Macaca mulatta: one gene and its partners. The protein of the gene in region 1 interacts with the protein of each later gene in a pairwise test. Links are inferred from orthologs where the notes say so. Each region holds a gene or a part of one and is shown in the gene's direction. Other genes may lie near its edges.

Evidence for each region.
Region 2: the proteins of FHL3 (region 1) and SAXO1 interact in binary tests that used the Homo sapiens proteins (3 or more experiments, as listed by UniProt). The two-hybrid records come from large-scale screens. The link is inferred for Macaca mulatta from reciprocal best matches to the Homo sapiens genes FHL3 and SAXO1.
Region 3: the proteins of FHL3 (region 1) and SNRPG interact in binary tests that used the Homo sapiens proteins (3 or more experiments, as listed by UniProt). The two-hybrid records come from large-scale screens. The link is inferred for Macaca mulatta from reciprocal best matches to the Homo sapiens genes FHL3 and SNRPG.
Region 4: the proteins of FHL3 (region 1) and TTLL10 interact in binary tests that used the Homo sapiens proteins (3 or more experiments, as listed by UniProt). The two-hybrid records come from large-scale screens. The link is inferred for Macaca mulatta from reciprocal best matches to the Homo sapiens genes FHL3 and TTLL10.
Region 5: the proteins of FHL3 (region 1) and RFX3 interact in binary tests that used the Homo sapiens proteins (3 or more experiments, as listed by UniProt). The two-hybrid records come from large-scale screens. The link is inferred for Macaca mulatta from reciprocal best matches to the Homo sapiens genes FHL3 and RFX3.
Region 6: the proteins of FHL3 (region 1) and CNNM3 interact in binary tests that used the Homo sapiens proteins (3 or more experiments, as listed by UniProt). The two-hybrid records come from large-scale screens. The link is inferred for Macaca mulatta from reciprocal best matches to the Homo sapiens genes FHL3 and CNNM3.
Region 7: the proteins of FHL3 (region 1) and MRPL27 interact in binary tests that used the Homo sapiens proteins (3 or more experiments, as listed by UniProt). The two-hybrid records come from large-scale screens. The link is inferred for Macaca mulatta from reciprocal best matches to the Homo sapiens genes FHL3 and MRPL27.

The regions. Positions count from the first base shown.
Region 1 is NC_133406.1:202,788,423-202,792,741, forward strand, and holds the start of FHL3 (four and a half LIM domains protein 3), read left to right. Parts: upstream 1-1,510; 5' UTR 1,511-1,697; intron 1,698-1,984; exon of another isoform or gene 1,985-2,327; coding exon of another isoform or gene 2,328-2,469; intron 2,470-4,319. UniProt on the Homo sapiens protein: Recruited by SOX15 to FOXK1 promoters where it acts as a transcriptional coactivator of FOXK1.
Region 2 is NC_133420.1:80,253,006-80,256,830, forward strand, and holds part of SAXO1 (stabilizer of axonemal microtubules 1), read left to right. Parts: intron 1-2,812; coding exon 2,813-3,015; intron 3,016-3,825. UniProt on the Homo sapiens protein: May play a role in the regulation of cilium length. Stabilizes microtubules at low temperature.
Region 3 is NC_133418.1:54,435,648-54,440,074, forward strand, and holds the start of SNRPG (small nuclear ribonucleoprotein G), read left to right. Parts: upstream 1-1,575; 5' UTR 1,576-1,663; coding exon 1,664-1,695; intron 1,696-1,811; exon of another isoform or gene 1,812-2,142; coding exon of another isoform or gene 2,143-2,150; intron 2,151-3,337; exon of another isoform or gene 3,338-3,438; coding exon of another isoform or gene 3,439-3,485; intron 3,486-4,427. UniProt on the Homo sapiens protein: Plays a role in pre-mRNA splicing as a core component of the spliceosomal U1, U2, U4 and U5 small nuclear ribonucleoproteins (snRNPs), the building blocks of the spliceosome.
Region 4 is NC_133406.1:239,503,199-239,507,623, reverse strand, and holds the start of TTLL10 (inactive polyglycylase TTLL10), read left to right. Parts: upstream 1-1,412; 5' UTR 1,413-1,941; coding exon 1,942-2,063; intron 2,064-2,413; exon of another isoform or gene 2,414-2,418; coding exon 2,419-2,495; exon of another isoform or gene 2,496-2,594; intron 2,595-2,774; coding exon 2,775-3,081; intron 3,082-3,215; coding exon 3,216-3,334; intron 3,335-3,464; coding exon 3,465-3,594; intron 3,595-4,425. UniProt on the Homo sapiens protein: Inactive polyglycylase.
Region 5 is NC_133420.1:95,924,302-95,928,704, forward strand, and holds the start of RFX3 (transcription factor RFX3), read left to right. Parts: upstream 1-1,446; 5' UTR 1,447-1,588; intron 1,589-4,403. UniProt on the Homo sapiens protein: Transcription factor required for ciliogenesis and islet cell differentiation during endocrine pancreas development. Essential for the differentiation of nodal monocilia and left-right asymmetry specification during embryogenesis.
Region 6 is NC_133418.1:5,489,182-5,493,006, forward strand, and holds part of CNNM3 (metal transporter CNNM3), read left to right. Parts: intron 1-1,998; coding exon 1,999-2,214; intron 2,215-3,708; coding exon 3,709-3,825. UniProt on the Homo sapiens protein: Probable metal transporter.
Region 7 is NC_133421.1:59,627,011-59,631,545, forward strand, and holds the start of MRPL27 (large ribosomal subunit protein bL27m), read left to right. Parts: upstream 1-1,456; 5' UTR 1,457-1,470; coding exon 1,471-1,510; intron 1,511-4,071; coding exon 4,072-4,203; intron 4,204-4,535.

The DNA.
Region 1 (4,319 bases):
TTGCGCCACTGTACTCCGCCCTGGGTGACAGAGCAAGCCTCTGTCTCAAAAAAAAGAAAAAGAAAAAAAAAATCCCAGAGAAAGTCCCCATCCATGGGCTGGATGCTCACTGCCTGGACTCCAGATAACAGGTGCCTGTGATACAAACCAAGGATGTTAGACGGGCATACATACTGAAGCAGTGTCTGCTATCCATTCATTCATCAGATGTTTATTATGTGCCGGATATTGAAGTAAGTACTGAGAAGGCTGTGGGGAACAAAACGGAGCCCTGCCTTCATGGCTCTTACCATTTAGGCAACAACAGCAATAATAAACAAGCAATAATTTAATTTTGAAAGGAAACCAGGCCTGGAGGGTGACTTGGGACCCAGGAACCCAGGCATGACACAGAGATGGGAGGGAAAGGTTCTCAGGAGTCCCAGCCTGGGAGGGTGTTAGTTCCTCTGTGAGAGCTCCGCTGCACCCAGCCTGGGGTGTGGGGAGGCCTCTGTGGGCACCTGAATCTTCACTCTAGACGCTAAGGTTATTCCAGGGTTGCTTTGTTGTCTCTTGTTTCCACTAACAGCACAGTAGAGCCTCCTGCCTCCCTCCCTCCCCCACCCCTTCCAGACCGAGGCTATTTATTCCTAGTGACAAGCCTGAGGATCCCAGGGGGGGTGGCCTCAAGGACCTGGAGGGGCCTCGTGTCCCTAGCAGGCGCCAGTCCTCCCTCACGGACACAGGGAGGAAGCCAGAGGTTTAGACACTGCAGAGGTCCCCTCCCCTCTCCTCCACCACCCCTGCAGTGCCCCATCCTCTCACACTCCTCACACCCCACCCTAGAAGCCCAAAGATCATGGGGCCAAGGATTAGGGTCTCTCCTGGGCCTCAAAGGTCAAAACTATTCCTGGGCACTGCGGAAACCCAGGCAAGACAGGACTTCTCAGCGTCAGGAGGCCACTGGAGGTGGGGAGGTGGTTACCCCTGTTTTTGCTACTCAAAGTTGTGGAGTAAAACCCTTTGGAGGTCAAGGCCCTGTGGTGGGGAGGGGTCCTCTCTTCGCCCCATGTTTTCAGAGAACACATTGGTGCCCGCTGACAGGCTCATGACAGTAGAGTCAAAACCTCCTCCTCCAGGCTGGATTAAGGCCAGGTTGAGTGTCACCCCTAAGGGTAAGGTGAGGGGGTGGGGAAATCCGAGGAGGCCACAGGACTCTTCCCCAGTGGACCATGGTCTGTGGGGTCTGATGTCCCCGGCCTGAGATAGAATACAACAGTCTCCCTCTGGCAGCTGGGGACGGGGGGGGGGGGGGGGGGGGGGGGTGGGAGGGGAGGAGAGCAGAGGCTGCGGGGAGGGGACAGGGGCGGGGTCCCGGCCGCCTGAAGGTTGGGAGAGCCAGGTTAGGCCGGGCAGGAGGAGGGGGCCGGGCCCGCTGGCGGCCGAAAGGGAGGTGGGGGCGGGGTCTGGCCCCCGCAGCGGGCTGGGGGGCCGGGGGCGGGGTCCGGGCGGGGCGGGCCCGCGCTCACTTCCTCGGGGAGGGGTTGGGGCCGCGCTCCCACTCGCCCACACGGTCCGTCTGCAGTCGGCAGCCTAGCCGGCAGCTCGCTCGGCCCCCGCTTGGCCCGGCCCGCAGGTAGGAGCCGCCGAGGGACGCGGCGCCCGGTTCCCCGCCCCGCCCGCGCCGCGCGCTCCCCGCTCCCGCCGCCCGCTTCGAGGTGAGCGCCCCGCCGACCCCGGCTCCCAGCCCCGGCAGTCCGCCCCCGCGCCCAGGCCGGGGAGCGAAAGGACCCGCGGAGGGCTGAGGCCAGCCGCGGCCCCGGCCCCCTGTACCCGCCAGGCTCTGGCCACAGGTGCCCGGGGCACGCCGAGCCCGGGAGAGCGCCCGCCCGGACTAGACCCCTCCGGGCTGCCGGGCGGGGCGGGGCGGGGGCGGGGGTGGCAGCGAGAGTTGGGCGGGGGAGGGGGCTAAGTTTGAAATAGAAAAGCCGGATAGAGACAGACCGACCAGAAGCGCTGGAGAAACTGAGGTTCTCGCAGAGCCCAGTGGAGCGAGAGACCAAGACAGGCAGGGACTCGAGGCACAGGAGGAGGCTACCGAGACCATTGAAACAAGGACACACCGGGCGTACAGTGTTACCGGTGGACAGACCCGAGACATGGGGGCCGTCCCAGGCTTTCTGGAGCATTTTCAGAAAACATACGTGGGACCCCAGCGAACACATTCCCTGGGGCCCTTCCCCAGGCCTTGGAGGTGCCCTGAGGCTTGGGCGTCATTGGCCTCAGGCTGAATCTGCTCTCTGAGGCCTGCAGAGACACTCAGAGACTAGAGACAGAGACACTCAGGCATGCAGAGGTGGCGAAAGAGACTTGGATATAGAGACAGAGAAAGGGATGTGGTGGGGATTGAGACATTCAGCCATGTAGACAAGAAGAGACCAAGACTTGAGATCCACAGAGGCATGGGCCGCCGGGGGACAGCCAGTCAAGGTACAGAGTCGTCCAAAAGCTAAAGACAGAAGCTGTGTCCAGACACAGAGATGCTGAGTGAAGCAGAGACAGACACCGGAGACTGAGACTTAGTGGGGGCAGAGAGACCTAGGTGGGCTGACAGCTTCCAGGACAGCCCCTGACTTACCCAGACCTGAACCATTGGGAAGTGAGGCTCTGGGGAAACAGAAACTCTGAGCCCACCAATCCCCCATGGGGCAGAGGCCCTGAGACAGTAAGTTCGAGATCAAGAAGAACCCCGTGGACACACACAGCCACCAAGACAGCCCCAACTTATTTTTAAACTCAAATCTTGGACAGGCTGCCTCTGCCCTGGGGGACCCAGGGTGAATGAACTGTTCCTCTCCTGTCCCCAGAGCAGCTGCGGGATCCTGCTCCCCAGCCCCCTTCCCTAGACTTCTCTGACTTCCAGGTCCCATGGGGGAGAGCAGAGCTTGGGGTTGGTGCCCGGTAGCAGAGGGTGAGGGTTGAGGGAGTTGAATTTCTCCCCTTAAGTCTCCTGTCAGCTTCTAGAAGGTGGGGGAGGGGTCTGTTCTGATCCTGACTCACAGCTGTGGGACCTGGCCGGGGTCCTCCTGGATAGTGGGCATGTTGGGGGTGGGGGACAGAAGAGTTGAATGGTTGGCATGGGGCATTGGAAAGGCTTCTGGGTGCCTTCCAATCACAGGGCTGGCAGCTGGGGAGAAGAGCCAGGCTCTAGTGCATCTCCTGTCCCCCTGCCCTTAAAAGCTGATCATCCCCTTCATCACCAGGGCAGTATTTTTAGGGAGACAGAAGAGCTCTGGCCTGGGAGGCAGGGGACCTGGGTCCTGATAACTGAGTGACCTCGGGCATAAGCCTGCTCTATTCCTGCCTCCTTGTGCTCATCTGTAAAATGGGGATGATACTCTGTCCTGCCTGCCTTTTGTGAGATCTGATGAGATGGTGGTGGGCATGGACTTTGTGAGTGGCAAAGCAGCATGCAGGTGTCTACACCTGTGGACCTGTGTGGGAGATCTCAAGAGTTATGCTTACTAGAGTCAGGCTGACTGGGCTGGAGCAACCACTGCCCCCACTGGTGTCCTCAGCAAGCCCCATGGGCCTGGGGCCTCCTATTCTCTCCCTGGGCCTAGGCTGAGAATGTCCAGGTCAAATTTCAGACAAGGCTGGGCACAGTGGTTCACGCCTGTAATCCCAGCACTTTAGAAGGCTGAGGCCAGAGGATCACCAGGAGTTCAAGACCAGCCTGGACAACATAGTGAGAACCCCATCTCTACAAAAAACAGAAAAACCTAGCTGGGCATGGTGGCATGTGGCTGTAGTCCCAACTACTCAGGAGGCTGAGGCAGGTGGCTTGCTTGAGCCCAGAGTAGGTTTTTTTTGTTTTGTTTTGTTTTTTTGAGATAGAGTTTTGCTGTTGTAACCCAGGATGGAGTGTAATGACATGATCTTAGCTTACTGCAGCCTTCACTTTCTTGGTTCAAGCAATTCTCCTGCCTCAGCCTCCTGAGTAGCTGGGATTACAGGCGCCTGCCACCATGCCCAGTTAATTTTTGTATTTTTAGCAGAGGTGGGTTTTCGCCATGTTGGCCAGGCTGGTCTTGAACTCCTGACCTCAGGTGATCCACCTGCCTTAGCCTCCCAAAGTGCTGGGATTATAGGCATTAGCCACCTCACCTGGCTGAGCCCAGAAGTTTAAGGCTGCCGTAAGCCATGATCGTGCCACTGCACTGCAGCCTTGGCAACAGAGTGAGACCCCAACTCATAACAAAAAAACAAAAACAAAAAGGCCTAGCCGACACCAGCCTGGCCAACATGGTGAAACTCCGTCTCTACTAAAAATACAAAAA
Region 2 (3,825 bases), on another chromosome or scaffold:
CTACTCTATAACTTTTATAGCTACTTACCAAAAAGAAACTTACTTCTCTCACCAGTTTCTTTTTCTTGGTTCACGTCACATGTGCACAGAGACTGGGAAATGTACCACAGAAAGAGAGGGGAGATCCAGTGTTCTTAAAAAGAAAAGCTAGTTAGTTTGAGCAATTCTGGGAAGACTAAAATATAGACTTTTCTTTTATGTGAATTTAAAAGCTATAAGATTATGTGTGATTGGGGACATGCAGTTATGTTGTGGTTAATGACAGGTTTCAGTGAATGTTCTCAACATAAAAACATAATGAGGAAACACATAAATTCTGATTAAATTCACTCCTGAGCCACAGTAACTATGTTTAGGTAGGTTATAAAAAAGTCAAACTTTAAAATTTTTCTTCTCTTAAGAAGTAGATATTGCCTCCCCCCACCCCCCCGTAGTCATTTGCCTTAGTTATAGCTGATCAATAAATTAAACCATAGAGGAATACTTAGAAAGGAACTTACATTTTCTACTGGAAAAGATGATTGGCTTTTGTCTTCGGGAAACCAATTTCAGAATGGTCTGTGAACTGGTGAATTTGGTTGTGGGCTTTTGTCTGCTCTTTTCCAGTAGAAGCCGTGGGAGATGGGCAGTAAATGTGCTTTAGTTTTCAAGAGGCTGGCAGCCTTTGAAGGGAGGTTTTTGTGGCATCCCTGAGAGGAAGCTGGTCCTCTTGGTCAGAGTAACTGAAGAAGAGCCTGCCATCGACTCTGGGTGCAGGGTCCCCGAGAGTGGCAGGCTTACAGCTGGAAAGCATTCCTAGGTGCTTTGAGGTTGGGTGGGCTCAGTGCAGCAGCTCAGGCACCCATAGGCACCCAGCTTTGTTCCTCATTGCTTGCCCTTGGTACCTCCTGATACTCCCTGGAAATGAATAGGGTGCAGGCTTAGGTAGCCATCACGGAACACAGGCTTTTATAAGGGTTTAGGAATGTGTGGTCTCAGGCTGCCTTGAAATCTGTCCATCCCTTCTGGGAGTGAGGAGAGCTCAACTTCCCTTGGGAGCACTCCCTTTAGAATGTACACTCTCTGACCAAGAGTCCCTTTCCACTCAGCTGGTTTTCAGATGGAGTTTTCTGGGCATTTCCATTTGTCTTTGTAGCCTAAGGACTTACCCTCTTAGTTCCCTGTTACAATTGGTTTAGTGCTGAATAGACACCAGGGTGTAGTACTTGTTCATTGAGAACAGTAGATAATAGGAGCTGACCCTTGGCTTCTTGTTCAGTCCATTCCCTCCATAAGCCCCGATATACACAGTCAGCTTCCAGACACTTCAGGCTAACAGCAGGGCCCCTACAAAGGAAGTCCAGGCTGAATGTCCTATAACTGCTGCTAAGATATATTTTTAAATCTACCCAGAGGGTGTTAGGGGAGTTCAACTGAAGCATCTCCCATTTCCTCCTTAGAGCCCTAGAGAGACTAATTCTCCTGCTTCCTAACTTCCTCCTCCCATCCCACCAAGCATTTTCAGGACCCGGTTCGGGTTTACTGACAATCATGTGTATAATTCACGCAAGACAGGTTACAGTGGAGCGTGTTACCTTTGCTAGTCAAGCATGGCTCAGTAATGCTGCTCCAGATTTTGGCCGGGAAGTGGGTTTTATTGGTGTTTGGGCCTAATGTTTTCCTGTCCGGAAACCTTCCCCTTCCCTTGACAGGGCTGTTCTGGCAAGCACCATCAGGGAAAATCTAACCTCCCTTTGTCCGGTTGAATAAATGGGTTCCAGGCAAAAACAGTTCGTTGTGTGAAGCAGACACCCTTCAGAGGGAAATGTTAGCATTGAGAGGTGGGAAGTTGCGAGTGCCCTGGAGGGCAACACAAGTCTGAGCTAAGCCCTGGCTCCTTAGGGCGGTTCCTGGTGGGCATTGCAGTGAGCATCTGGGCCTTTTTATCTGGGATACTTTGGAGAGGGACTGCTTCCTGTTTAGCGAAGACCATTATACTTTTTCGATCCTGTTGTTTTGGTACTCCCTGAAATAATGCGGGCGCTGACACCAGATAGCAGAGAAATGAAGGACTTAGGGTCTCCAATTATTTCGCTATTTTCCTCTTCTGGGTTTTCTGTAGGCTAAGCAGAAGAAGGAGATAAACATTAGCAGGAGAAGCTTTTGGGAACACAGAGAAGGTGGTGGAGGTACCTGAAAGGAAGTTAGCTCCACAATGAAGGGGTTGGGTGGAAGGAAGGTGGAGAGCGCAGGAGTAGAAGTAGTGACATTGTGGTTGGAGTGCAGGGTGCTCAGGTGGGGTGGGGATAGTGAGAGACAAGGGTGAGTAAGGCAGGAGCCAGGTCCAGAAAGGCTTATAAATTATTCTAGGAAGTTGAATTTTGCCTGGAAGAGTTTTAAACTGGGGAAAGCCATCTGATTTCTATTTAGAGAGTTTATTCTGGCCACATTATGGGGATTGAATAGAAGTGGTAGGGATGAAGGAGGAAGCTCAGGTGGCAGGCTGTTACCTGATCCAAGTGAGAAATGGTCAGGGTCTGGACCAAGGGGAAAGAAAAACCAATGGGGTGGAGGGGCATTGGTGAATGATAGGCTCTGGGGCCGTGAGGAAAGGAGGTCAAAGATGTGTACAGGTGTCTGAGTTGGGTGAGACATAATTGATGGTACCCTTCCCGAAGGTGGGAAATAGAGGAGAAACAGTTCAGGGGAGCGGGGAAGGCAGGTAGAGTAGAACATGACTTCTCAGCAAATGTTTATAGAGTTGGGTTGAGCAGAAAACATAAGCCTTATTGCAAGCCAAGGACCCCAACAGCATGCACTTGCTTCCTTACAGGAGAGATTTTGGGCCTCACAAAGTGGCACCAGTGAAGGCCCACCAGTATGACCAGTTCGTCCCAAGTGAAGAGAATATGGATTTGCTCACGACGTATAAGAAAGATTACAATCCCTACACTGTCTGTCGAGTGGACCCCATCAAACCTCGGGACAGTAAATATCCATATAGCAACAAGATGGAGTATTTGCCTACTTATAAAGGTGGGAGAGCACAGAGGGGCAGATTGGGGGAAGGACAGGCTGAGCCTGTGTGCGGGCCAGGAAACGTGTTTAATGTGCAAAGTCACTTAGTGCAAGAGTTGGCAGGCTACTTCCTACGGACCAGATCTGGCCAGCAGCCTGTTTTTGTATAGCTGGAGAGCTAAGAAAGGTTAAACATTTTTTTTTTTAATAATTGAAAAACAAATCAAAAGGCTATCATTTGAGGACTGTGAAAATGATATAAAATTCAAAATTCAGTGTTCATGTTTTATTAGAACACAGCCATATTCATTCACTTACACAGTATCAATGGCTACTTTTTGCACTATAGTAGCAAAGTTGAGTAGTTGTTGACAGAGACACCACATTCTGTGAGACATAAGACACTTAATACCTGGCTCTTATACAGAATATTTGCCAACCCCTGCCTTAGCTTGCAGTTTGAATCCTATATTGGGGGAAGCATTTCAAGTTCAAGCTAAGTTAGTTTCTACCACTGATTAAGTGATTGATTCATTCACGTGTTTAAAAAATATATCATTCACGTGTTTAAAAAATATATCAAAATGTAACATGCATATGGAAAAGTATACAATTTATAATTATACAGATCAATAAATTTGCACTGAACAAATCCATGTAAACAGTACCCAGATCAAGAAATATAACATTACTACCCCATTTCTGTCACCCTCCCCAACGAGAATGTAACCGTTATTTTAACCTTTAATACCTTACCTTAAATTAGTTTTGCCAGTTTTGAACTTTATATAAACAGGATTGCTTCTTTCTTTATTGAGTATCTATTGA
Region 3 (4,427 bases), on another chromosome or scaffold:
AATAGAGTCATTCCAGAATATCAGGAATTAACTGAATTTTTGAGAACCATCCCCTATTTAAAATCAACACGGCATTCTATTTTGGTTTAGTCTTCTATAATCCGTGCATTCTCCTATTTTGGGGTAACATAACTGGGAACAAGTCCGAGGCCACTTTTTACACATCTTGACATGAAAAAGGAATACCTTGTATTAGAGAATGTTTGTGTGCTGCACTTCACGTTTTATATACGGGGCAATGGCACATCAGTGAGTTCTGGAGGTAATGTTTGAAAAATTGCAGAACTGCCAGGCATGCTGGCTCATGCCTGTAATCTCAGCACTCTGGGAGCTGGAGGCAGGCGGATCTCTTAAGGCCAGGAATTCGAGAACAGCCTGGGCAACAAAGCAAGACGTCGTCTCTACAAAAAAAAAAAAAAAAAAAAAAAAAAAAAAAAAAAATTAGCTGGGTGCAGTGGCTTGCGCCTGTAGTCTAAACAACTCAGGAGGCTGAGGTGGGAGGATTGATTGAGGCCAGGGGTTCGAGGTTGCAGTGAGCCATGATCACATCATGCATCCCAGCCTGGGTGACAGAGCAAGACCTCATCTCAAAACAAAAAAAAATTTTTTTTTGCAAGACCCATCAGTCGGAAATAGATTGAAATTCTTGGAGACAGGCCCAGTCACCTTACTCTCCAAATGGTGCAGAGGCTGCTAATTTGCATGTTACCGGAACCCTACTTGGTCTGAAAGTATGCTGTAGGATACCTGCCAAAGAAATATAGAGGCCCGGCTGGGCGCGGGTGGCTCACGCCTGTAATCCTGGCACTTTGGGAGGCCGAGGCGGGCGGATCATGAGGTCAGGAGATCCAGACCATCCCAGCTAACACAGTGAAACCCCATTTTTACTAAAAATACAAAAAATTAGCCGGGCGTGGCGGCGTGTGCCTGTAGTCCCATCTACTCAGGAGGCTGAGGCAGGAGAATGGCGTGAACTCAGGAGGCGGAGCTTGCAGTGAGCCGAGACCGAGCCACTGCACTCCAGCCTGGGGGACAGAGCGAGACTGTCTCAGAAAAAAAAAAGAAATATAGAGGCCCATTCCTCCAGGGATCATTATTTGGTATTTTGGTTTAGATGAAGAAAACAAGCGATACGATCCACAGACATGCGGGATTTGCCGGGTTTGCCCAGAAGTTAGAGAGGGGACTGTTATCTCAGTATTTCAATTTTATTTTTTAAATAGAGGAGGGGGTCTCCCTATGTTGCCCAAGCTGGTCTCGAACTCCTGGGCTCAAGAGATCCAAAGTTCTGGGATTTACGGCGCCAGGCTTTTTTTTTTTTTTTTTTTTTTTTTTTTTTTTTTTTGGCTGTTCCATAGACAAGAACACGGATACTCCATCGTCAGAATACCCGTTATCTCAATTTTGCCCAAGGAAAACCGAATTTAGAAAGGTGCCTAGAGGGCCCACCCCTCTGTCCTGGCCAATAGCTGACGACGCAACCGGAAGCTCAGCAATGACCGAGGCGCTCAGATATCGCGATGTGAAGTGTTAAAAACTGCCAACAATCGATTGGCTAACTAGGTCGATGACGCCAAACGCAAGACGCCGGGCCTACCGCGGGAGCCTGAGGGAAGCCGTGCATTCAGTTCCAAGGCGTCTGTGAGTCCGCGGAGTATACGCCATGAGCAAAGCTCACCCTCCCGAGTTGAAAAAGTAAGTATGTGTGAGAGCCAAACCGAAGTGGTCGCTTCTTTGCGTCCCCCGAGTCCCTTGGTGTTTCAAGCCGAATGGCTTGAGCCGCTTCACCTTATTTCTTCTTCCGGTCCGAGGTCGCCGGCATCCCGGCCAGGCTCCGGCTCATGAGACGTGAAGCCCGCGCAGAGCTCGCGCATTGGCGTGGTTACCGCCGGCAGCCACCGCACCTCCTTCTGGCCGACTAGTCTCTCTGTCCCGCGCTCCGGCCCCTAGTCACCCGGCGCTGTCCCTCGTTCCTTGAAGATCTCCAATGCCAGCTTTTGTTGAACATCTCTAATAGCATCATATTCTAGATAGACGGCTAGAGGGGGAAATTCTCTAAAGGAACTAAGGAGGGGATGGAAGGGAAGTGTTTTTAAAACTACGTGAGGCATCGGAATCCAAAAGCCACTTTAGCCTTAGAGAATGTGTTTGTAGGTGTTTCTTTGAGCTTTTACTTAGAAACCTCATTCTTTTTTGTTGCCTATTTTTACATTAAGCTTGAATGTCATGTGTTATCTTGCTCTGATATTGAAACTATGTAAGAACATTCATTTCTAAAATTAATGTTCTAAAAAATAAAATTTTTTTTAGAACATTAATTTTTTTCTAATCAGAGAAGGCTAATTTTTTTAAGTTTCTTTTACACACCCAGTAAAGACAAACAACTTTAAGGAGGAGAGCCTTAATTTATGTAGGACTCAACGTAAAACTTTAAACTCCTCAAATACTTTTTGACTGGACTTAACAGGTTATGTGTTTCCTCAGTACGTCTCTGTTTTGCTTGTACTCCCTGATGCTGGAATTCTACATGTATTTATTGGATTGCACAGAGGATGCAAAATTTTTACAGGAATCAATTTTTTCTGGTGTAGCATGTGGTTGGCTTTGTGTATAGTTCATTTATTACCAGGCCCCTGGAAGTCAGACATAAGGAAAAGTTCCTATTTAATAATTTTGCGGCCAGTGGCGGTGACTCACGCCTGTAATCCCAGCACTTTGGGAGGCCAAGGTGGGTGGATCACCTGAGGTCAGGAGTTCGAGACCAGCCTGGCCAACATGGTGAAACCCCCCGTCTCTACTAAAAATACAAAAAATTAGCCAGGAATGGTGGCACGCGCCTGTAGTCTCAGCTACTCGGGAGGCTGAGGCAGGAGAATCGCTTGAACCCGGGAAGTGGAGGCTGCAGTGAGTCAAGATCTAGCAATTGCCCTCCAGCCTGGGCAACAAGAGCGAAACTCTGTTTCAAATAATAATAATATTGCATTTAAAGGTATATTTGTATCAAAGCCATCTTTTGTATGAAAACTACTTTCATGTATATTTTAGTTAGGTCTGTTAAGGAATTAATTATTAAAACATAGCCCAACGTTAGAAAAATAGAAGTTAGAAATTATTGTGAAAATTACTCTTTTTATCTGAAAGTTATTTTATTGGTGAGTTGGTGATGTAAGTATCCTCTGGATTCATCAGGGACTGGTGAAATGGTGATTTTTCTTTTTTTAAACAAAAGCACCATTCTCTACTTGTAATCTAAGATTTTATTTGTGATTCATAACATAGTTTTTGAAAATTTCAGAGAAGGAAGCTAGTTTTAATACCTTTCTCTTCTCATCCATAGGTTTCATGAATTGTGAAATCCCGTGAGATCTGCCGTCAAAATGACTTTCAAATTTTTTCTTTCTTTGCTTTCTCACTGATAGCATCTTCTTTTACACCATTATGCCCTCCTTCTGGCTTAGCGTAACTCAGGGGTTCTTAAATGGGGGGTAAGGAATCTGGTGACACCAGGGATGCTGCTAAACATCCTACCGTTATTCGGCTGCCCCCAACAATACAAAATTACCTGGTCCCAAGTGTCATTAGTGCAGAAGTTGAGATACACTGGCTTAACCGAATTCTTCCTTCCACTTCTTAAAATTTGCTGCCACAGTGGTCTTGCCAGTGACAGCTTTAATAATTTATCACAGTATGCAAAACTGAATCTATACTTAAGCCAGCATTCAAACGCCAAACCTTACAGCTGCTAATACTCACGTGTTCTCTTCTCCAGTCAGACTGAACTATTTGTGTTTGCTCTCACTTGCTGTGTGACTTCGAAAAATTGATTTACCTTTTCCAAGCCTAGTTCTCCATCTGTAAAAACGGTAGAAATGACAGACCATAATTGCATGCAAAGTCATTGTAAAGATTGTATAAGATCTTGTGTTATATTTGATATGTTTTATGTATCTTATTAAAATAGTTTTGTTCATCATACTTCATAAATGTGTGTATATATTATATATAATATGTAATATATATTACATATATAATTTTACATATAATATTACATATATATTACTTTTTTTTATATATATACATATATATATATATATATTTTTTTTTTTTTTTTTTTTTTTTTTTTGAGATGGAGTTTCACTCTTAATTCCCAGGCTGGAGTGCAATGGTGCAATCTCGGCTTACCGCAACCCGTGCCTCCCGGGTTCAAGCAATTCTCCTGCCTCAGCCTCCCGAGTAGCTGGGACTACAGGCATGCACCACCACACCCGGCTAATTTTTTTTTTTTTTTTTTTTTTTTTTTTTTTTTTTTTTTTTAGTAGAGACGGGGTTTCTCCATGTTCATGTTCATCAGGCTGGTCTTGAACTCCCGACCTCAAGTGATCCACCTGTCTCAGCCTCCCAAAGGGCTGGGATTATAGGCATGAGCC
Region 4 (4,425 bases), about 37 Mb from region 1:
GTGTAGGTGTGTGTGCATCTGTGCGTGTGTGTAGACATGTCTGTGTCTGTGTGTAGGTGTGTCTGTGTCTGTGCATGTCTGTGTGTGTAGACATGTCTGTGTGTCTGTGTGTAGGTGTGTGTGTGTCTGCGTAGACGTGTCTGTGTCTGTGCGTGTGTGTAGATGTGTCTGTGCATGTGTGTGTAGACGTGTGTGTGTGTGTAGGTGTGTGTAGACGTGTCTGTGTGTGTACACCTGTGTCTGTGTGTAGGTGTGTGTGTCTGTGTAGACGTGTGTGTAGACATGTCTGTGCGTGTGTGTGTGCGTGTGTAGACCTGTCATTCTCGTTCACACCTGGGAGTCCCTCTGATGATGCTGTCGGGACTGGGCAGCCCCTTTGGTTGTGAGTCAGAACTTTAGAGGATCCCCTTCCCCAGCAGGACTCCTGGGTGCTGAGAACCCATGAGAAGGAGCTGAGGTCTCCATTGAAGGCAGAGTATCGTACGCACGTGCCTGTTCCATGTCAGCGCAGGGTCCAGCCTCCTCCAATAGTCCTCCTGTTCTGAGTGGGGAGGGGTCTCAGGGCTCCCAACTTCTTCCATTCGTGCCCAGCCCACCCTAGGAAGAGGGCGTGAGGCTCTCCCGGCCACAGGTGCGGGGCCCAGCCTGTGTTCTGCTCCTCCCCCAGGACGGGCCCCAGTGGCCCCACCCAGCTGGGTCATCGTGCGAACGGCTGCCTCGGTTTACCCGCCTTCCCCTGCCCGTGGGCTTCCTCGTTGTCTCCTTCCCTCCTGTCACTCAGGTGGGGCAGGGAGGGGCAGACACAAAGGCCTCGTGCAGCCGAAAGCGATGCCGCCATCTCTGCAGGTCAGGTCAGCCGCAGGGGCTGCCTTTGGAGAGCTCTGCCCCCAGCCTGGAGCCTCAGGCCTGCTCCAGCCTTCTCTAGCCTCAGAGCCTCCACTGCCGTGTGCTCCCCTGTCTCCTGGGCGAGTTCCTTCAAACCCTTGAAAGTCCTCACCTAAGCCACACGCGGTGGCTCACACCTGTAGTCCCAGCACTTTTGGAGGCCGAGGTGGGTGGATCATCTGAGGTCAGAAGTTTGAGACCAGCCTGACCAACATGGAGAAACCTGTCTCTACTAAAAATACAAAAAATTAGCCGGGCGTGGTGGCGGCGCCTGTAGTCCCAGCAACCCGGGAGGCTGAGGCAGGAGAATCGCTTGAACCCGGGAGGAAGAGGTTGCAGTGAGCCGAGATCGCGCCATTGCACTCCAGCCTGGGAGACAGAGCGAGACTCCGCCTCAAACAAAAAAAAAGGCCTCAGCTCCCAAGCAGCCCCAAGATGGCTTTGTTTGCTGGAGACGGCGGTAGCAGGATCTGTCAAGGAACTGGCTGAAAATTCCTGAGATGTTCTTGAGTCACAACACAGGAAGGTGCTGGGGACAGTGTCCTGGGGGTCGGGCCTGGCGCCCGGGGGCGGCCGCAGAGGAACCCGGATGGCAGGTACCAGGTGGCTGCACACAGCCCACAACTGGCCTCTGGGATCAGCAGCGGAGACAGAGGAGACCCCTGCTCGGGCCAGGGAGTCCCCCCACCCTCCACTCTTCAGGCAGGTGCCTCACCCGGCAGGCCTGACGCTGTCCTTCTTTCCAGCTGGCACCCAGGCCGAGCTCGCCCACGCCCGAGGAGCAGCTCCGGCAGGGGAGGACTCGCCCGGCAGAGACAGGGTGCAGAGACAGCCTCGGCCCCCCACGGCGCCAAGCCCCACGGCTGCCACGGAGGCAGGAGCCAGCCACCTACAGAGGCTCAAGTCCACGGCCCTGGGAGGCGCCCTTTCCTGGGCAGGGTGGGCCTGACTGCTTGCTCCATCCAAGTGCTGGGGCCTCGGGCTGCCCGAAGTTCCCACAGGAGGGTCAAAGCAGCATCTTCCCTGCAGGGCCCTCGGCCTGGCGCCCCCCGGCCAATGGCCCACAGCTGCACCCGGTTCGTCCATCGCCGGGGACCGCCCACTCGGACCCAAGCCGGCTCCAAGAGGGGCAAGAGACCAAGGATCCAGCGGCGGCCTCGGGCTCGAGTCCCAGGTGAATAGAGCAGCCCTGAGTGGCCTCCTTCCTCTCCAAAGCCAAGGCCTCCCTGGGACGGACTTCCATCCCCAAGGAAGTCAGTCGGTCTCATGGGGCAGGGGCAGGACCCACACACGGCCACGCCCTGCTGCTCCGAGAAAAGGCCCAGCTGTGGGCGCCAGGCTCTACAGGCACAGAGGGGAGGTGCGCGCTCCGCGGCCCAGGGTTCTGCCTGGCTGGCACCACCCCCATGGGCAGCCGCTGGGCAGCATTGCCTGTTCCCAGAAGGGCAGCCCCTCATCTCCCCTGCCTGACAATGGCCCCTTGGGTCACCCGTGACATCATCATGGACATTGTGACCCCTGCCCTCCTGGGACCATCCCTGTGTCACGTCTGCACCCAGCACTGGCCTCACAGCCTAGCCCCTGTCCTGCACCAGGCCACTGCCCTGTTGGTGAGGAGGGTGGGGGTCGACCTCCCTGCCCCCTGCTCCGAGCTCCCCACCCTGGCAGGAAGGCTGGCCCTGGAGGGTGGTCGCAGCCCCTCCCCAGGTGTAAGCAGTCCCCAGGCCGCCTGGTTGGGTCGGAGCTCGGGCTGAACTTGAGCCCCAAATGGGCCAGGGGGGTTGTCCAGGGTCTTGGAGAAATGGGCTGGGAGCGAACTGACTGAGCCATGTCTGGGCTGAGTGGACAGCTCCCGTAGCCACCCGGGTGGGACCCCACCCCGTTCACAGGCCCAGCCCATGAGAGGCCAATGGGGAGCAGCCAGGAGGAGGGACTCCCGTGTCAGCCAAGCCAGCCAGACCACGACACAGGTGGGCACGGCGGGCTGGACCTGGAGGGGGCAGGAAGAGTCTCCACCACGCCCGGACCCCCTGGGCTCCTGACCAGCCACCCGCCTGCAGACTCGGATGACACTGATGCCACTGGGCCCCCAGCTGCCCTCCTGGAGGGGCTCCTGCTGGGGGACGGGAAGCCATCGCCCCACAGCACGAGGCCGGGACCTTTCTTCTACATCGGAGGCAACAACGGGGCTGCGATGTGAGTAGGGGCCCTGGGCGGTCCTGTCCCGCTGCATGCCCACCGCCTGCTCCCAGGGCACAGCCCGGCCTCCGCTGGCCGCCCGCCGGCCTCACCCGGGCCCCCAGGTCACCCCCACCCCGGCCCCCCTGCAGCATCAGCTCCTACTGCAAAAGCAAGGGCTGGCGGCGCATCCAGGACAGCCGCCGGGAGGACTATGTGCTGAAGTGGTGTGAGGTGAAGAGCCGAGACAGCTACGGCAGCTTCCGGGAAGGTAGCGGGAGCCGGCGCCACGGGGGGCAGCCTGCAGAGGGGCCTCCTGGGCCGGAGCACAGGGCAGACTGGAGGAGTGGGGACCGAGGTCCTGCACGCCCTCCACACGTGCCCTGGCCTCTGACCTCCAGGAGAGCAGCTGCTGTACCAGCTTCCCAACAACAAGCTCCTCACCACCAAGATCGGGCTGCTCAGCACCCTTCGGGGGCGGGCATGGGCCATGAGCAAGGCCAGCAAGGCGCCGGGGGGGACCCAGGCCAGGTGAGTCTGCCCCTGCTCCTGCGCCTGCCCCTGCCCCGTCCTTGCCCTGCCCCTGCCCCCACCCGTGCACCTGCCCCTGGTCCTGCCTCCGCCCTTGCCCCTACCCCCGCCCCTGCCCCTGCCCGTCCCTGCCCCTGACCTGTCCCCGCCCCCGCCCCCGCCCCTGCCCCATCCCTGCCCCATCCCTGCCCCTGTCCCTGCCCCTGCCCCTGCCCCTGCCCCGTCCTTGCCCTGCCCCTGCCCCCACCCGTGCACCTGCCCCTGGTCCTGCCTCCGCCCCTGCCCGTCCCTGCCCTTGCTTCTGCACCTGCCCTTGCCCCTACCCCCGCCCCTGCCCCTGCCCTGTCCCTGCCCCTGACCTGTCCCCGCCCCCGCCCCCGCCCCTGCCCCATCCCTGCCCCATCCCTGCCCCATCCCTGCCCCTGTCCCTGCCCCGCCCCCACCCCTGCCCCATCCCTGTCCCTGACCCTGACCCTGCCCCATCCCTGCCCCATCCCTGCCCTTGCCCCTGCCCCGCCCCCACCCCTGCCCCATCCCTGTCCCTGACCCTGCCCCTGCACCCACCCCTGCACCCGCCCTTGCCCCTGCCCCTGCCCCTGCCTACCGGGGTTCCCAGGCTGGCCCTAGCCCCCACCCGTCAGCACCCTGAATCCACCTTCCACCTGTCATTTAGAGGGCCAAACGCCCATCCCATAAACCCAGCCTCTTCCCCTCGGCTAAACAGGGAAGATCCCACACGTCCCCAGCCCACTGGGCCTGACACCACCCACCCGTCCATCTCACAGACCCACCCAGCTACAACCCACCTGTCATGTGCCTTCACCCCAAACA
Region 5 (4,403 bases), on another chromosome or scaffold:
GCAGCTTAGTGGCAAATGTTGGCAGATTTTGGGTATTGGCAGGGCCTGGGGGCATGTGCCTGCTGGACTCGAGTCTGCAGAAAACTGGAGGAGTCTGTTCGAACCATGAGGCATTAGACGCTGTGCCTTATCAACGCGTGTTTGAGATGGCAGGTTGTGTTAACAACATTCAACACAGACGGAAGCCATTCGTCTATCTCAATTCAGCCGGAAATAGCAAGACCCTCAGCTACAGTAGGCTGACTAAGTGGGGCTGAGGGCAAGGTAGGTAACAGGATCCAGGCTTGAGCTCAAGCCCCGGTTCAGTCTTTAAAGAGGGATGAGCACGTAAGGGCTTAAACTAACAGAACTAGAAACTAACAGAATGGTGTCGCAGGCAGGTGTAAGTTACCCCGCCCCTCTACGCCCTCCGTCGAGGAGACTCGCCAAATGCGTTTTCTCAGCCTACGGGCAGGGCAATTTCTTGCTCTCTACAGGCAATTACTCCCAGCCCTGTAAGCAGGGAGTGATGACCTCGCCTTTTCGTTCTGGAGTGAGGGCCGGACACGCTTGGACCTCACCTCTCCGCGCCACTCTGCGGCGGGGCCGCGGGAGGCCGGCTCGCGCCCACGCGCACCCCACGCTCGCCTTCTCTAAGATGGCGGCAGAGGCTGCTCGCTCACGCCCCGCCGCCCGCGCTCCTCCAAGTCGTGCCCTCAGCAGGCGGGAGTGGGTCAGAGCGCGGAAAGCAGAAGGGCGAGAGTGACGCGGATCCTCCAGTCCAGCGCAGGCCGCGGAGCCCTGAAGCGTCCAGGAAAGCGAAAAGCCAGCAGGCTAACGCGACCAGGAACACCGCCAGCACCTCAGAAACGAAAAAAACGGCGGCACATCCGGGCCCCTCTGCCCGCCCCGCCCCGGAAGTAACGTATCGGGCAGGGGCGGGGGTTGCTCTTCAAAGTGGATTCTTCCTTAGCCATAGCTCGTCTTTCCACAAAGTGCCTGGAATCACCCTCGCCACCCCCTCCCTCGGGTTAGCCGTTACTCTCTCGTGGCTCCGGGACGTCTCTGCACAAAGCTGGCTGCCGGGAAAGGCAGCCCTCGTTTCACAGATAGTAATCCTCGCACCGCGACTCTAAATTCTCCTGGGCTTCGCCAGCGCGTGTAGTAACGTCCCTCTGAGAGGACTCTTGGTGACCTCAGCCCCAACCAAGCATAGGCGCACCTCTTCGGAGTCCTGTGTTGGAATCCCGGCCTCGTGCCCCGTCACCCCGCCACCCCGCCCGGCTTCGGGGGCCGTCAGTCACAGCGCTGCTCCCTCCCCTTCCGGCGGCTTGGCCGGGCCCGCCTCCTCCCCTCTTCCCTCCCCCACCCCTCCCCGTGCGAGTGTCTCCCTCTCCCTCTCGCTCTCTCTCTCCCTCTCTCTCTCTCTTTTGTGAGTTATAGCAACCGTTGCCTTGTGAATCAAGCGCCATAGTCACCGTAGTCCTGGCGACTGTTACCCATCAACAACAACTACTCCTCTCCTCCTCCTCCTCCTCTTCCTCCTCCTCCTCCCCACCACCACCATCTCCATCACCCACCAACAACACCACAATAATCCACAGCCAAGGTGAATATTCTTCGGTCTCTACATGTGTGTGGGAGCGTGTGGCTGCGTGTGAACGCGTGTGTCCGTGCGTGTGTGTGTTCGTGTGTGCGAGCCGAGTGTGGCTGTGCAGGGGTCTCACTCCTGACACGGGGGCTGCCGCTGCGGCGCCGCCGCCGAGGGGCTCTGTTCCCCGGGCTTGTTTACAATGGACCCTGCGCGCCGCGGCTGGGTCGGGGGTGTGGGCGCCGCGCTGCCCGCCGGCCCCGGCCCTGCGCCGGCCGCACTTCAGGGATGGAGCGGGAGATTGGGGGGCTGCGAGCCGAGCGGGAGAGGGAGCCACAGTTTTCCGATGCGGATGCCGGATCTTTCCCTTAGGTCTGGTATGAGGAGAAGGGTCAGGTGAAGAGATAAGAATTTGTTCTTTCTTTAATTTTCTTCTTTTCTAACGCTGCTTGTTTCCTGCTTCTTTCAAAGCCGAAATAGACAACAGTGTGCAGGGGGGGACCCAAGAGGTGGTGTTTTGTTGTTGTTGTTGTTCACTTGTGGGGCCTTGTTATGGGTTTTGTTATTTTTATCCTCGTACGTTGGTGAACTTTTCCCACCGCCTGTTCCCTTCATTTTTGCCCCTCTTTGCTTGGTGCTGAATGGGCTGCTCTTCTTTCACCATCATGAGCTTCACGGTTTTCCTTTTTCTTTTTAAAACTGTGTTTTCTTTGTGCGGCAAACAGTCTTAATATCCATTCAGCACTCTTCCCTCCCCCTCTTTCTACTCCCCCACCCCCCCACACCCCTTGCACACACACGGAAACCTGGGGCCTCTTCGTTGGGCTCTCTTTGCTGTACTGGGAAAGAGATTTTTCTTTTTTAAAGTCTGTCTCCTCTCTCTTCTTTGGGGGGTGTGTGTGTGTGTGTGCTTGTGATTTAAACCGGATGCACGGCATCTGTGATACTTGGGTTAGTAGTTATTGACAGTGCTTTATCCTTCATGTGGAGGTGGGAGGGGTAGTAGTGAGGTTCCGTTTCACTTTGATGATCCTCTTTCTCCGCAGTAGAGTGTTAACAATTTTCATTGTGGTTATGAGACTTTGTGATGAACAGGGAAGGGACACAAGGAGGCTTTGTGAGAACTCAGTTCACAATGTTATTTGTGACAGTTATGGTACTTTAAGAGTTTTTTTTTTTTAATCTACTCTGTTCATTTTCCTTTGAGAGTTGAAATTGAAGTCAAGTTCATAAAGAATGTATGAAGCTTCTCAACTTGAAACGTGTGTATATTTCACTTTCTTTGTGGTTAAGATCTAGGCATGTTTGTACTTAACATATTCTTTTTATTTACTTTTTGATTTTCTTTGGACAGTGACTTGAACCTGCTCAGGAGAGAGAACTTTTTCCTTTTTAAGTATTTCTTTTAAAAATTATATTTCTCTGTAGATTTGAATACTTATTAGTCCTTATGTAGTAGGTTCTTGGTTAGCGTTAACCCAGTTTTACAGATCCCCTAAATTTGTTCATTTTTTTCAGCTTAACTTTTAGTTAATAGATTTATCAATAAAGAGTTTTGAAAATGAATGTGTGCTAAAACAAATACAACGTACTATTATAGTTGCACATATTGAAGTTTTTAATTTACAGTTTTAAAATGCTTATTCAAATAGTCTTCTAACAGCAAACATATATTGATTTAACTGACAGCAGCTTGTGAATAATGTGACAGTACTAATTATTCTTGAGATTGTCAATGAGCAGGGTAGGTAATTATAATGCTATTAAGGCTAATATTTTGTAAACTAAGAGTTGGGATTTTAAAAAACTTTTTCAATTCATTTCCTTGCGATTGCTATTTTAAATGAAGACGATATTTTGTTCTGAAAGAAGTCTTTCTCAGAGTACTCAGAATTCTTTATAATTATTCCTCCCCTCCCCAAACTGGGTTCCATGCAAATCTCTAATACTAACTTGTACTTTTTTTTGTTCAGATTGAGTGTCAAATGCCTGAACACTTTTGGATGATGAAGCTCCTGGGTCCTATAAACTCTCTGAAGTTAATAGGAGTTTTGCTGTCTTGGGACAGTTTCAGACCTTATGCCATTTACATAATAGGTTTTCAGTTAAGTAAATTATATGCTGGAATGTTACAATTTAATATTTGCAGTGTCTGAGAACTTTTTTGAGGCATTTCACTCATGTATAGCTCGTTTTCTGTGATTTAGATTTTCATTCACAAGTTGATTTGAGAGCAGAACTTAAATTGAATTTCATTACTTTTCCATTTTTTGAAGCATATATGTGGAATAAAATCGCTATTAGAGCTGCTGTGGAATTGCTTAAATAATCAGAAACACTAAGAAATGGTAAATTTAAAAATTAAACCCAAGAGTAGATACTTAGCTTTTACTTTATTCTTTCTTAATATTTTTCCTAGAAGGGACTATATTACATATTGATACTTTCTTGTGTTTTTAGTTTTTATACTAATAGAAATTTGTAAAAGTGATCATGCTTTGAAACTAAAACTATTTTAGCAGAAGTCACTTGTAACTTGTTTTGAATAGTTAAATATCTGTGATTCAATGTATGCCATAATGCCTCAGTGTTTTTGGTTTGTTTTGCCTGTGAATTATATAAAATGGTGTAGGCATCATACGTATACACATATTTGGCAAACTAATGAATTTCTAGAAATTTTGCATCGTTTCACAATGTTTTCATTAAATGTTGTAGTGGTGCTTAGTTTTTCTATATTATTCCTCCAGTACTCAAATAGTCCTGTACTCTACTTTGGTACTCAAATAAAAGGTTATAGTTTATAAGCTTAATATGCTTTAACCCGGAACAG
Region 6 (3,825 bases), on another chromosome or scaffold:
TGACCTTGAGTCCCTCCAGCTGCCCTTGCTCTGTCCCCCTGCTGCCATCTTTGGCTGCCATCTAGACCCCCCAGACGTTCTTCTTGGGATTCAGTCACACAACCACTGTTCCGGGGGATCTTCCAGGGCCTGCTTTCTTCTGTTCGTGGTAGAGTCATCCCAGTGTGGCAGGAAATGGAGAGTTGTGTGCCTTGTTCTCGAGAAGTCTGAAAGCAAAGGAGTGAGTCCCTTTCTGCAGGAAACCTGTGACAGGGGCTGGCTTCCTGGGAGAAGGGAGTCGAGATGAGGCCTCTCTACGCTGAGGTGGCTGTTTAGATCCTGGGATTTGGTGCTGGAATCCGAGGCATTAACCAAAACCACAAGTCGCGCGTGGCCTTCCTGGCCTGGCCTGACAGGTTTGTACTCTGGCGGGGCAGCCGTGGCCCACGTAGAGACGGCACCCAGCACAAGCACCGAGGGTTAGAAGGTGTCTAGAAATGCGGTTCAGAGGGCTGAGTGGCCATCTCCAGGGGCCCTAGCCTTTCCTCCTAGAAAGCGGGGAGATGACTCGTGTGGCCATTTCCAGCTTTTTGTCCAGGGGAATGCAAGCATCCTGGAGAACTGTGCTTTTTTAAATCAAGCTCACGGGATGTAAAGTATGATCCACACAACGTGAACTTGACTTTTTGATTTCTCAAGAGAGTCTTGAAGCAGGTCCCCCTCACAGGCAGGTCCAGGCCAGTTTCCCTCAGTGTTTCCGTTAGTGACAAAGGAGGGCCTGGCTGGATGAATTGCTCCCATCCCCTGTGCTGGCCCTGTGCAGCGCAGGCCGGCAGCCCCCTCCACCTGGGGCTGTGGTACCTAAAGGTGGAGTCTGAGTTGAGATGTGCTGTGAGCATAAAACACACCAGATTCAGAGAGTGCAAAATAGACGAAATGTCTGTGTTTATTTTTTGGATTGATGACATGTTGAAATGCTGTTTTGACTATATTGGGTTACTTACAATATAAAACTTAATTTTGTGTGTTTGTTTTGACTTTTCTAACGCAGCCGTTCAGATTTTAAATTACTTAGGTGGCTTGCGTTCTGGTTTTTTCAGACGGGTCTAAAGTAGTGTGGATGAAAAGCACTTACCTGACACAGTAAATTCCTGAAGCCTCCCCAGCATTCCCCAACACTGTGAGACTTGGGCTTTTTTCCAAGTTTACATTCCCTCACTAAGCAGACAAACCAAACAGGAAGCTAACCTGAGAAAGAAAGACAGGGTAAGGCGGAAGATCAGCCTGGTGCTCCTCCTCCTGCACAGCTTGACTCCTGAGTGGTCAGCTGCCACGCGTCTCATCCCCTGGTTCACAGACCCTAATGGGCAGCTCTAAGAATTAGGAAAACGGAAAGATACACAGACACACACACGCACACACATACACACAGTCTATCTATCTTTCTATCTCTTTTTCGTTTCTATCATAAGGACAAGAAGGAGTTCACATTTACATAGGATGGACAGCATATATATTTACTGTAAAAAAAAAAAAAAAAAAAAAGAATTAGGAAAACCTCCCGAGGAGAGTCAGGCTGGGTGGCCTCACTCAGCCGCCCCGTGTGGACTGCCGCAGGAGAGCCTGCGTTTCCGGAGTCATGCCCTTGTTAGCCTGCATATGCAGGCTGGCTGCTGTGTGAGGCGCATGTGTTCTCGACTGGATGCTTGTCTGAACTGCATCCATGGCATGGAGGCGCACAGACCTGGAGCTGGATCCCAGCTCGGCCACCTCTGCCTGGGGGGCCTGTGCAGATGAGCAAGCATGAGCCCAGGGCTTCATTTTCAACCCGTGTGAAAATAAGGCCAGTCCTCATAGTCATGCTGGGCGTCTTAAGTAAAAACCTAGAAAAGAGTCTGGCTGTGCCTGACCCGCTGTAGGAACATGAACATTAGCCACGTCCTTTTGGTGGGCCCCGAGGGAGATGAATCAAAGTGCGGGGGCCCAGCAAGCTGTTCCATGAGTGTCCTCCGCCCGCAGGGAAGTCCCACCTGGCCATCGTGCAGAAGGTGAACAACGAGGGTGAGGGCGACCCCTTCTACGAGGTCCTGGGCCTGGTCACCCTGGAGGACGTGATCGAGGAGATCATCAGGTCCGAGATCCTGGACGAGTCTGAAGACTACCGTGAGTCCAGACTCTTGGCAGTTACGTCTCCGCTGGGCCCGCGCACTTCCCCAGGTGTATGTTGCGTCCGAGGTCAGTGGGCCTCTGTGCTGCTGAAACCCAGCAAGATCCACAGCCAGGCCCCTTCTCAGCCCTGCCTGGGCGCTGGCAGGGAGCCGCCTTGCAGGAGGGCTCGCCTGGGGCTCCGTTAGCAGCAGTCCTGTTAGATTCCTCCATTACTGAGAGAGCTCTGCCCTTCATGGGCCTTTCCCAGCCTTCTGTCTCCCGAGGTGCTTTTGTTTTTGCAGGTTCTTTTGTACATTACAGAAATGTCCTCTGAAAGAACCCATTCTTTGCCATGAAGAAAGTCTTCCCGGCTGGACGCAGTGGCTCACGCCTGTAATCCCAGCTCTTTGGGAGGCCGAGGCGGGCAGATCACGAGGTTGGGAGTTCAAGACCAGCCTGGCCAATATGGTGAAACTCTGTCTCTACTAAAAATACAAACATTAGCTGGGCGTGGTGGCGTATGCCTGTAGTCCCAGATACTCAGGAGGCTGAGGCAGAAGAATCGCTTGAACCCAGGAGGCAGAGGTTGCAGTGAGTCGAGATCATGCCACTGTACTCCAGGCTGAGACACTGGGAGGGGGTGGAAATAAGTCTTCCCAAAGCAGCTGATCCCGGGCCCTTGATTTCGTGGTAAAAGTGTCTGCCTGTTAGGTTGGTGGCTGAGGTCTGCAGAGCTGCACAGAGCCTGCGCTTCATGGCCGGGCCCCCTGTCCCGCATGCTTCCAGAAATACTGCTTTACTCGTGTCAGTTTTCAAACATAGCATTTCTGGTTCCATTCCTGAGACTGCCACAGGCCTGGGGTCTCCAGGTTAATTGCGGCCCTTTTGCACTGGTCATCCTTGAATACATGCTTTCTAGTGAGAAGTTTCTCAGTGGCCAGAGAGGCCTGTTACTATTTTTTAATTTTTAATTTTTTTTTTTTTTTGAGATGGTCTTGCTCTGTCATCTAGGCTGGAGTGCAGTGGTGCAGTCATGGCTCACTGCAGCCTCAACTTCCCAGGCTCGAGCTTTCCTCCCACCGCAGCCTCCTGAGCAGTTGGGACTGCAGGCGCGTGCCACCACACCTGTCTAATTATTTTATTTTTTGTAAAGACACGGTCTCCCTGTTGCCAGGCTGGTGGTGAACTTCTGGCCTTAAGTGATCCTCCCGCCTCGGCCTCCTGAAGTGCTGGGGTTACAGGTGTGAATCACTACATCTGGCCTAAATTAAAATAAAATTGAGTCCACGTCCAGTGACCTATCAGGGATGCCTGTTGTTTTATAAGAGCTGCTTTGTTATCATATCAGCGTTCTCTTCAGCCAGCTCCAAGGCAGGGAGCCACCCCTCGCTCTGTGTGGTTGGGGTGGGAGCAGGCCCCGTGGAGGGAGTGGTGCTGAAGACATGTCCCTGGGGCTCTGATGCTGCTCCGTCGAGGACCCCCTGGCCTCAGTAGGAAGGAGCAGGCGATGCAGTCCCTTGGTGTGGTGGTGTTGACTGACAGGTGGCTGATGCCTGAGCGCGCCCTCTTCTTCCATCTTAGGAGACACTGTGGTGAGGAGGAAGCCTGCTTCTCTGATGGCCCCTCTCAAGCGGAAGGAGGAGTTCTCCTTGTTCAAGGGGTCTGATGATGAATATAAAGTAAAAATCTCGCCTCAGC
Region 7 (4,535 bases), on another chromosome or scaffold:
CTCAAGTAATCTGCCCGCCTTGGCCTCCCAAAGTGCTGAGATTACAGGCATGAACCACCACAGCTGGTCAAAAACTGTTCTTTTAAAAAATTGAGACATAGGCTGGGCATGGTAGCTCATGCCTATAATCCCAGCACTTTGGGAGGCCAAAGCAGAAGGATCACTTGAGTCCAGGAGTTCAAGAACAGCCTGGGCAACATAGTGAGAACTCGTCTCTACAAAAAAATACAAACATTAGCTGGGTATGGTAGCTCACACCTGTAGTCCCAGATACTGAGGAGGCTGAGGTGGGAGGATCGCTTGCGCCTGGGAGGTCAAGGCTGCAATGAGCTGTGATTGTACCACTGCACTCCAGCCTGGGTGACAGAGTGAGACCCTGCTTTAAAGAAAAATAAAAATAAAAATAAAAATAGAGATATAATTTGCACAGCACAATATCCTTTTAAAAGTGTACATTCAGTAGTTTTTTAGTATATTCACAATGTTGTGCAACCATCATCACTATTTTCATCACCTCAAAAAGAATTCCTGCAGCCATTAAGCAGTCACTATCCATTCCCTCCCTCTCCCCAGCTCCTGGCAACCATACATCTGTCTCTATGCATTTGCCTATTCTGGATATTTCATATAAATAGAATCATACAATATGTGGCCTTTTGTGCCTTTTTTCACTCAGCATGTTTTCAAGGTTTATCTGTGATGTAGCCTGTATCAGTACTTAATTACTTTTCATGACTTAATAATATTCCATTGTACGGATATGCTACATTTTGTTTATCCATTCATCACTTGGACATTTAATTTGTTTCCATTTTTTTGGCTATTATGAATAATGCTGCTATGAACACTGATGTACTACTTTTTGTGGGGGTATGTTTTCAAATCCCTTTCGTGTATATACTTAGGAGTAAAACTGCTGGGTCATATGCAAAGCTAATCATTCCTGGAACATTTACTAACACTGTAGGTATGACCCAGGAGGAGACATGTAACCTGCCTAGGCCTCAGTTTCTTCCTTAGTAAAACAGGGATGATAACAGCACCCATTTTATAAGGTGGTGAAAATTAAATAAAATAATGCATCTACCGCGCTTAGTACAGCATCTAGCACACAGCTGGCTGAATAAAGTAAGTTGAATGACTAGGGAGGGGGCCTCATCTCTGACCCTTTCGCTGGGCCTCCGTTGACATCTGCAAATGAGGGGAGTGAGACAAGCGGGCCCCTGTCCGACAAGCTCTGCGCCTCTCAGGCTGGCGGTCCGCTGCAGAGGCTCCTGGACGCCCTAGCCACCAAGACTCTGCAGATAGGTGCTCAGGAGGGAAGTCCCGCCTAATCCGCTGGCCTGCAGCGGGGTACACTCACCTGCAACTTCTCCCGCCACTCTTTCAACTGCCACGCAGGGCCCGGAAGTAGATCTCCTGATAGCGGAAGTAGAACCTTTTCGAGACCGGAAGTGAGTGAACGCAAACATGGCGTCTGTGGTGCTGGCGCTGAGGACCCGAACAGCTGGTAATGGGACGCAGTAGTCAGAGCGGGGCGAGGCGGGGAGGCAGAGTGGAGCTCCAGCAGGGAGGGAAGGAGGTGATACTGATCCCCGCGGAGGACCCTGGATGCGAGGGGAAGTGTGTGGGCCACTCCATTTTTGAGGGACGCTGTCGCTGGTCACGTGACACATCCTGGGTAGAACCATGAGTGGGGGAGTTGGAGGAGCACTTGGCCTTCCCCTGCCTCAGGAGCACGGACGGCTTCCTTGGCGGTTGGGGGTTTGGGTGGATCCTTTCTCTGTATGAGTATTAGTAACAATGGCACATTGGTGATGAAAAAATTAATCTATTCATTCAACAAATTGAGGTCTGTCTTTGTGGTAGACACGGCGGCAGGTGTTCAGAAAATCAGCAGAAAACGTGAAGACATGGCTTCTAGCCCCCGAACGGTTTTCTCTGGTGCATAAGCCAATAAATGAACACATAAAGTAGTTGCAAACTGGCAAGTGCTGTGAAGAAAGAAAATGAGTGTGTGTGTGTGTGTGTTTGTGTGTGTGTTTTCTTAGATTGAACGGTGAAGGAAGTCTTCTGAGGAGATAACATTTAAGAACTAAAGAATGACAGGAGGCGGGGTATGATGGCTCATGCCTGTAGTCCCAACACTGGGAGGCCGAGGCGGGCGGATCGCTTGAGCCCAGGAGTTCAAGACCAGCTGGGCCACATGGCAAAACCCCATCTCTACAAAAAATACAAAAATTAGCCCAGTGTGGTGGCGCTTGCCTGTGGTCTCAGATACCCAGGAGGCTGAGGTGGGAGGATCACCTGAGCTCAGGAGGTCGAGCCTGCAGTGAGCCATGTACATACCACTGCACTCCAGCCTGGGTGACAGAATGGGGCCCTATCCTCACCCCACCCCCCCCAAAAAAAAAAAAAGAATGACAGGAGACCTAGCCCTGTGTAGAGTGAGGGACAGGAGAGTGACTTGAGCCAGTTCTACATTTTGAGAAGCAAACTATTCCTGTAATGTAAATTTAAAGGGGATAGGAGTGGAAATGAGGAAATCAGATGGAAAGCCATAATATCCCTGAGCTGAGATGATTTAGCCAAGACGTTTGTGGTGGCAGTGAACTTGGAGGAAAATGGATGAATTTGAGATCTGTTCTGGAGTTAGCATCCACAGAGCTTGCTGGGGAACTGAATATGTGAGGTCAGCAAAGAGAAGGAATCCGCAGTGACTGTGGTTTCTGCCTAAGCAACTGGCTGAATGGTAGCACCATTTACTTTGAGGAGGAAGATGGGGAGTAGGGTGAAGAGCAAATATTTGTGAATGAGATAATGTAAGTAAAGTAAAAGCCCAGCTCCTGAGCTTAGTAAGTATGTAAATGAATGAATAGATGTTTAAAGGTAGGTAGATCTTGGTGCTGGGCATTTAACATGTTGTCTTTCTGAGTCCTTATCTCTGGTCCTTTGCCGCAGTTAGTCTATGTTGTCATGGAAATGTCAGAAACCCAGGCTTCAGACACTCTGAACTTACAGGCTCCAGAGACCCACAAAGCTTCTCTAAAGACACTGGCATGGGCCTTAAATCATGGCTGTGTCTGGAGACCTGCAGGCAAGGAGTTGCACCCCTAAGCTTGTCATACAGCAAGGGACTACCATCTTAGTATGAATTTTAGTTTGTTTTACTTTTTCAAATGAATGCTATTGAGCACTTTGGAATGAGTATGGAGGGGTCATATTAACAAGGGCAGTCTGTGGGTCATGGTTGGACCTCTGCTTGATGTGCTTTGAGAAGAAAGGGCCCAGCCTTCTGAAATGGCCAGGACCCTGTGGGAGCCACCTTCAGACCAGCTACCCTTTTAGTTTACTAGTATTTGGTGAGCAGTGGATGAGTGAATAGCTGAGAAGGTCACGGGTGAGGCCTGTAATCCCAACAATTTGGGATCACCTGAGGTCAGGAGTTCCAGACCAGCCTGGCTAACATGGTGAAACCCCGTTTCTACTAAAAATACAAAAAATTAGCCGGGCGTGGTGGCACACACCTGTAATCCCAGCTACTTGGGAGGCTGAGGCAGGAGAATCGCTTGAACCCGGGAGGCGGAGGTTGCAGTGAGCCAAGACTGCGCCCATTGCACTCCAGCTTGGGCAACAAGAGTGAAACTCCGTCTTAAAAAAAAAGAAAAAGTCGTGAGTGAGCCTGAAACAGAAGCCTCTCTGGATGTGCTGGGCTTCCCAAGTCTGTTCTGGCCCCTCCATGGTGCATGAGGGTGAGTGAGCCTCTGAAGCAGGCAGCTTTGTGGTGTCCATTTCTCCTCAGCACATTTAGACTAAATGTGTCAGGACCCAGAACACATGATGTTTATTTTTTTCCATTTATGTTTCACTGCTCCCCCGCCCCCTCCCCCAAAAGAAGAAAGCCAAGGACCTTCAGGTATTCCCTGAGAACTAATACACTCAGTGGCACTTCTGCTCCCCTGACACATCTTTCTCATCTCCCCACCACCTCTCACCTCTCAGCATGTGCCCCATTGAGGCAGAAATAGTTTGAGCCTGTCTGTCTGAACAATGTTTCTGTTTTCTTTGCAGTTACATCCTTGCTGAGCTCCACTCCTGCTACAGCTCTTGCTGTCAGATATGCATCCAAGAAGACGGGTGGTAGCTCCAGAAACCTTGGTGGAAAGTCATCAGGCAAACGCCTAGGCATTAAGAAAATGGAAGGTGAGGATGTGCCTTGGCTTCCCCTTCCCAGCTGCACCCTGTCCTGGTGTTCCTTAGGAGAGCAGAAGAACCCTGCATGTTCCTGGCCCTATTCTTCCTCACCATCATAATTGGCTCCAGATTAAAGGAACAGATAAGACCTGAGGAAGGGTCATAGGGTGGGTGGGTGTGAGCCATAACCATGCAATTAGAGATAAGAGCTGCTGGGTGGCAGATCCTGCAGTGCTTGTGTTGGACTGTCTGGGAGTTGTTTTTGGCCAGGGGCAGGCTTGGAAGTTGGTATGCAGCATTTAGGCCATCGTGTTTTCTTGGTAGTTTGCTATGCTGCCCCA